Rattus norvegicus: one gene and its partner. The protein of the gene in region 1 interacts with the protein of each later gene in a biochemical or structural test. Links are inferred from orthologs where the notes say so. Each region holds a gene or a part of one and is shown in the gene's direction. Other genes may lie near its edges.

The links.
Region 2: the proteins of Cttn (region 1) and Actr3 form a complex in vitro, tested with the Homo sapiens proteins (3 studies listed by BioGRID). The link is inferred for Rattus norvegicus from reciprocal best matches to the Homo sapiens genes CTTN and ACTR3.

Annotation. Positions count from the first base shown.
Region 1 is NC_086019.1:209,028,537-209,031,339, reverse strand, and holds the end of Cttn (src substrate cortactin), read left to right. Parts: intron 1-45; coding exon 46-117; intron 118-911; coding exon 912-1,048; 3' UTR 1,049-2,292; downstream 2,293-2,803.
Region 2 is NC_086031.1:39,393,507-39,398,008, reverse strand, and holds the start of Actr3 (actin-related protein 3), read left to right. Parts: upstream 1-1,499; 5' UTR 1,500-1,584; coding exon 1,585-1,628; intron 1,629-4,502. UniProt on the Homo sapiens protein: ATP-binding component of the Arp2/3 complex, a multiprotein complex that mediates actin polymerization upon stimulation by nucleation-promoting factor (NPF).

The DNA of each region.
Region 1 (2,803 bases):
AGTCCTTGGGCAGTATGTTTGCTCAGCGGTTCTGCTTTCTTACAGAGGATGACACCTACGATGGGTATGAGAGTGACCTGGGCATCACAGCCATCGCCCTGTATGACTACCAGGCTGGTAAGACACTGACTGTGGCCTGCGGGCACAGATGTTCCTACCCAGGATGAAGTTCCTAGCTATTCCCCTCCTGAGACAGTTCTGGGAAGGAAGATGAGGCTGTCTTATGCTTGGACTTGAACCAGGGCCTGTTACCCAGTCTGACCTGGAACTCCGGGCTTAAGCAATCGTGTCTCAATTTCCCAGTGGCTGACACCTTAGGTGGACTTTACTGTGCCTGGGTATAGTTTCCACACTGTATCTTGAAGTAAATTGACAGGTGTTGCCTGGGATGGTGCAGGGATGCCCATGTCTGTGCCCACCCCTTGTCTCTCATCTGAATCCTTGGGGATCTAAAGCTGCAGAGCCCCCTTAGTCACAGACCCACAGTGCAGGCTGGGGACAGGATTCCACACAAGAGCCAGCGTGGCCCCTCTCTGTCACGTCAGCACATCCATTTCTCCTGGCTTAGTTATTACTTGAGCAGTGTTTTATAGGATGCATGGCTGTGGCTCCCTCAAATCCTCAGGCCCCCTAGGCTGAGAGAGAGAGGCTCGCTAGCCCCTTCTCTTCCTGAACAGAGACCTGGCATGTATTTCCTGGTACGCACATGGGTTCTGTGACTTTTTGGCCATCACCTCAGGTCTCTCTAGAGTCTAGATATTCATGTATAACCTTAGCAGCCCTCTCCATTGCCCTCCTTGTCATGTGTCTTAACAGTGAAGGCCCTCTCCCCTGCCGGGTGGGTGTCTTGATATCTTCCACCTGGTCAGGTGACGATCCCATCTGAGTCTCTTTCTTCTCTCCCTCCCTAGCTGGCGATGATGAAATCTCCTTTGACCCTGATGATGTCATCACCAACATAGAAATGATTGACGATGGCTGGTGGCGTGGGGTGTGCAAGGGCAGATATGGGCTCTTCCCGGCCAACTATGTGGAGCTGCGGCAGTAGGGTGGCCACCCAGAGCCTACCAGCACCAGCACTGGGTTCACACTACATCGCGTCTGCGTGTGTTGAATTGGTTTCTGCTTCCATTTCTGTTTTTGTTCTTTTTCCGAAGGTGGGGAGGGGAATATACATATTGCCTTTATATTTAATACGTCTGCTGATGCTTCGGGGCATGTCCTGCCACAGAATTTGCTAATGTCTGATGATCATGTTCACAGAGAACATGGGTGATTACTTTCAGCCATCCAGGTGTTTTAGCTTTGCCAAGCCGACTGTGGTACGTAGCCACTTCAGGGCATGCACTTCTCCTGAGGTTGGTGGTACATGTGGCCTTGTGCCCACTTCCCTTCCATGGCAGTCGGGTTCCCAGGATGGAGACAGTGCTCCTGGAGTGGCCACTCAGGGAGGAGGCTCTCTGGGATCCAGTGTTTGGAAGAAGAGGAAGGGCGTCCAAAGGAAATCGAGGTCCCGGAGCGTTGACCCTTCGAGGGAAGTCGTATCTTTCAGTCCTGACCATTTGAGCCAGGATCTGGGCTTCCTTTACTCCACCTCCTCATCTCAATTCAACCTGACACCCCAGTCCTGGTTGACCCCTTTCTCCTGCTGCCTTGCCCTGAAGTGTTACTTTCTCCCGTCTGTATTCGAGGTCTGTAGCACACAATGCATCTCAGAGATGTGCTGGCCACTTATCCTGAGCTTGGCCTGCGACATGGGAGACTTGGGGAGGGAGTCTTGGACTTGCTCATGACTCCTGCTCAGCCAGAGTGAGCTGTGTGGCCAGCCACCTGGCTGGGCAGACAGATACCTTCTCCCTGCAAGCCTCCAGAAACATGCTCCCTGTGGGGAGCTGTGTTCTTTTTGCCAAATATGTTCAATTATAGTCAGTTGATAGATTAATGTGGCTGAACACAGGACTGAGTGAACTGATCCACCTGGGTGCCTCCCCAGCATCCTTGATCAACTGTCCCTAAGATGCTTTCAAAGTGTCTGAGACACCAGGAGGCTGGGCCACACTGGTTATACACAGTCAAGCGAGCAGCACAGCATGTCCTTGTAGATGCGTCCCCACCTCTGGGACACATGAGGACCGATGCCCGTTTTCTCCCCATGAGCTTTCCTGTAGAATCCTTGCCTTTCCGTTGTTAGGTTGGGTTTTCTATATGAATTATCATCTGGAATTCTGTAGCACACCTTATAGGTATGGATTTTTTTAAATTAAATATTCAGAATAAACTTTTTTTGATCCATTTGCTGTGTGGTCCTCTGCAGTGGTTAGTCTCCATGTTTTGATTTGAAGGTGGCACTGGGGCTGAATTTCCAGGGGGGCCTCACTCAGATGCCCGTTATCAAGGCTGCACTGTCCTTCACTAGGGTAGCTGAGCAGCCGCAGCCCCTAAGGGCCTTGCTCCCTGATGGGTGCTTTCGGCTGAAGTGTACCCTAGGATCTGAGCAGGGAGATGGCTCAGTTGGTAAAACTTGCTGCACATCTTAGGTTTTGTCGCTGTGACAAGGCACCCTTATTAAACAGCTGTAGGGAACAAGGGTTTACTTAGCTACATATGGTCCATCATGGTGGAGAAGGTACACAGCACAGAAGCAGCTGGCCATGTCATGTCCATAGTCAGTCCTGCCCATAGCTAAGATGGTTCCCACATCAGTTAACATAACAGGCCTGCTCAGAGGCCTACATTCCAGCTGAGTCAAGTCCAGCTGAGGAAGTTGCTTCTCAACTTCTTCTTCCTGGGATCCTTTAGCTCA
Region 2 (4,502 bases), on another chromosome or scaffold:
TTTCCAGGTTCCTGCTGATGAGAAAGTAAATTCTCAGGTTCTACTGCACATTGATTTTTGCATAATCCCCTGAGATATGACCTAGCAAAGCACTTTACACTTTCTACATTACTCTGATGTATTCAAGTTTTTAAAAGTATTGCCTTTTAAGTCTGTAATGTAAAAAACACATATCTTTTTCTTTCTTTTTTTTTTTTTTTTTTTTTTACTAGAAAAAGTTTCAAGCTAACAGTATTACACAGAAGGAAATCCATTATCACTCCAACCTGAATAGAGGCCAGGTACCTGCACAGAGTCTATAATGTAGAACACAACCTCTGGGAGGCTGGCCTTTCTTAAAGGCCTGAGACAATCTCACTACTCTTGGAGGAAGTTTATCATCACCCCAAAACCCAAATAAAGGCCATCTGTGCAGGCTATGTAGAACCTCTGGGAAGCTTATTTTTTTATTTTTATTGTTTTACATTTTCGTGTGAGGGGGAGAACGTGTGCAAACTCAAAGAACAACTTGTGGGGGTCTTTTCATTCCTTCCAGCGTGTGCACCTCCAGGGATCAAACTCAGGTTAGTGAGTGCAAGCACCTTTACCTGATCCAACACTTGCCTTCCTTGATGACACAGAGGAATCCCCAAACCCTGGAGAAGGTGGGTTTGTTGTTACTGTTTAACCTAACGTCTTGGATCCTTGCCTTCTTAAAGGCAGAGGCCCACCATTTGGGTGAGCTTTGAAACTACAATGTAATAGTATAACTGACGTAAATCTCAGGACACAAACCTTTGTTCATCTCTTTTCTGACTGCACACCTAGAGCGATCATAGGGGCATGCTGCTGACCACGTTTCCCCACAGTAGAGAAGCCTTCTGTTCATTCCTCAAGTTAGCAGAGAAGAAACACACACACACACCACTACCAAAAGCCAGCTTCATAATTAAGTAACTGCCTGACTTCTCGGCTTTCACCGGCCAGAAAATGTGAAGTGGAATATTAGCAAGTTGGAACCGGAGCCTCGACCCACAGCTGCACACCACTGCGCATGTGCAGCCGCTTCGGAAAGCATTAATGCTTAGCTTGGCTACTGGGTTTCTAGCTATCTGAAAACCCAAAGTGGAGTTTCTGGTTATCTGGAAGGGAGCCGAGGCCCGGCGGTCGCACATTACAGCGCGCGCGCGCACTCGCCCCTCCCACCCGGAACCGGAAGTGGGAGCGATCGCGGCCTGGGGCCTGGCCTGGCCGGGGCGTCGGCAGCGGCGGCCATCTTGGCTACCCGCGGAAAGGCAGTGTGAGGGGAAGAAGTTGTAGGGTGGGGGCGGGAGTGAGGAGGAGGAGGAGGGCCGAGAGCGGAGGGGTGGAGGAGGAGGCCGCGGCGGGGCAGGGCGGGGACAGCCTGCCGGCCGGCCAGCCTGCTGGGCTTGCGGAAGTACTAGCCTACTGCTCACTCGCTACTGCTCGGGCTTCCCACAGCTCCCTCCCTTCCTCCCTCAGGACCGAGGGCGGCCCAGGCCAGTGCATGGTCAGCTAGCTCACATCTCTATCCCCGGCCTCTTAGCAGCACGGAACGGACGGCAGCGGCGGGCGAGGAGGAAGATGGCGGGACGGCTGCCGGCCTGTGTGGTGGACTGTGGCACGGGGTACGGCGGGTCTTCTGGGTGGGGAAACTGAGTCTGGGGACAGCCGGAGGAGGGAGATGAATGGGGTGAGCCGGCCAGACTGGCGACGGGTGGTGCCGGGAGCCTCCCTGGTTCGGTCGCTTCAGCCTTCTGGGACGAAGATCTTTTCAGGCCCTTCCCTTCTGGGAAGGCCGTCTGGCCCACCTGGCTTTCCTTTCCCATCTCTCCTCTTCCTGCCTGTGAACTAGGGGACTCTCAGGGAATCTCCAGGCGTAGGACCAAGGGAAAAAAGAGAAGCGCTCCTTGCGGGTTTTGCAAGATCGCGGTGACAACCCTCAATCTCTAGGGCGTGTGGGTGGGGAGAGCGGAGAACCGGGCTGTGAAAATGGGAAGCTAGAATGGGGGCTTTTGCAGAGGACCCACGCGCCGCCTCTTTTCCGCCCACACCCATTCTTAGCCATCTCCCACTACCCATTGAACCAAGTCAGTTCCAGCGAGGAGGATCTCATGGGGTTATTGCTCTTGCCTCAAAAAAAGTCCCTTAGTGAGCAAGCGCGCTGCAACTTCCTTAGTTTTGTCAAAGCCGCTTCCTGCTTTCCGTCTTTTATAGCCTTATAAGGTAGTTTTTCGTCTCCAACGTTAACACGTCTTATTAGAACTTTCAAAATTAAGCAGGTTGCATAAAGAGTAGATTATGAGTGCTAGGTATCAGTGTGTTTGAACTAAAAAAAATGTTCTTGTGTCCATGGAGGGAGATAATGGGGAGGAGAAGGGACGCACCCTGGAACCTAAACATTCAGTTTGGTTTGTGACTGTGTCTTGAAAGCTGAAAGGAGATAGAAAGGAATGTGTTTGATTAAAGCAATTGTTTCTGATAGTAGTGTGGTTGGCTAAAGTGACTTTTAAAGTTGTAGGTTTGTATTAATGAACCTAGTCAAGAGTTAGAACTTGCTCTGTGTGGTGACCTAGAGAGACGACTACATTTTTTACGCTGTACGTTGCAATACTTGGTGGAGGAAGAGGCCTGTCTGATCTCGAATCCCCCAAACACATAAGTGGTTTTGAGGACAGTTGCCAACCTTTTTCCTCTTATTCACCCTACCACAGTTATTTAAAGGATGCCTCTTCCACGACATTAGTTAGTTTGTATAAATCCCTCCCATCTTAACTCTCTGCCTTTACATGTAATTGTTAGGCAGCCGGAAACAACAAAACACTTAATTTTTTATTTCTTGGAAAACACTAGTTTAGCCTTGGAATTTCTATGTATTTTCTTAGTTGACATCGTATTAAAGTTAGATTTTTTCAATCCGGTCTCACCCTCTTGAAGTGTTTATATATGTATATTTAAGTTTATCTTTTCGTAGTTTAATTGATGAGTACTTGGATGTTAGAGGGATTTTAAAAATTAGAATTGGCTAGCGTGAATAGGATTTTTCAAGTGTATTTTATTGAAGTGACAGATAGTGCTATGTAGTGCTTCATGCTTTAGAAATCACTGTCAGTAAAGCCACATAGTCATTGATCACTGTATAAATAATGCCGTAGCAGCTTAAGGAGGATGCGTCTTTAATCTTTTTATGTATTTATTTTCCTCTTTTGAAATGCAGTTTTGGTTATTTTTGAATAAGTAGTAATTGGTATCTCATTGAACTTAGCTGTCCTTAAGTGACCTTTTTTTCTGAAAGGGCAACCTTGAATTAAAAACACATTTGGAGTGACCAGGAGAAGTGATACAACTTATACCTAGGCTATTTCTGTCTAATATCTCAATTACTAAACCATTACATTGCTATATTGTATATTGATCTCACCTTACAAAGAGAGGTTAGCTGTATATTCATTTATGATATGGGTGAAACTGATTAAAGTCACTTTCTCTATTCAGTGTTTTTACCTTTGCTCACAGTCTGAATTTCCCAATTTGTAGTTTTCTTTATTTTGCTTCTGAAGGTTTTGGGTGTGTCATCCTCTCCCCTGCCAATCCCACCAGTTGGCTCTACTAGACAGCAGTTTAGAGACTCTCACCTTGAGCTTTATTAGAAAAGTCCTTTCTCAGCGCCCAAGATAAATAGCATGTCCAAAAATGACTAGCAGGGAGTTTTACATCTGAAATAACTGTTTCCCAAATGCAAAATGTACCCCTTTAATTTGTACACCCTCCTCCCCCAGTCAATGCACTCACCTCTTAGGTCTCCACAATTACTCTTCTAGAGTAAGTGGACCATTTATAGGTTGTCCATCCCATTTCATTAAAGAATTTAGGCAAAAAGTGGTAGTGTGTTAAACTTGATGGCAGGCTTACAAGCTGTAAATGTTAGGACACATGAGATTTAATTCTAGAACTTTAAATTAAGAATCCTACAGCATAATTCATCATCACCACCTAGGTTGAGGTCATGAAGTATTTTTCAAATACTTAAGGAATTAAGAAAGAAATACTTCCTTCATATCTGTATCACCAGGTCAACATACCTTTTTGGTCCCTATTGGCCAAGTATTGTAGAATAAAGTTCTTGTTCAGAGACAAAGATGTAGGGCTTGGAAATGTAGCTAGGAAAAGTGCCTCATTCTCATGCACAAGGCCTGCTTCAGACCCCAGTCAAACAGGCTGGAGAGCCATCTCCAACGAGAAAAGCAAGTTTTAAAGCTTCAAAAGGATGTAATGCTCCTGTAATAAAGTTATCCTAAGATAGTTTCAGTCTGCCTGTTTCACTCATTTTTCTATTAGGGCTTTTCTTTGCTCGATGTGTTTTGTTTTTACTCAGAAACTGCTTTGGTGGCTTATTTCCACTGATTAAGTAATAGTTAATATACAGTCTTAGTTTACAAGCCTCGGATATATTTATATACATTACAGAATTTCTCAGATCTACCTTTTTTTTTTAAAGCAGT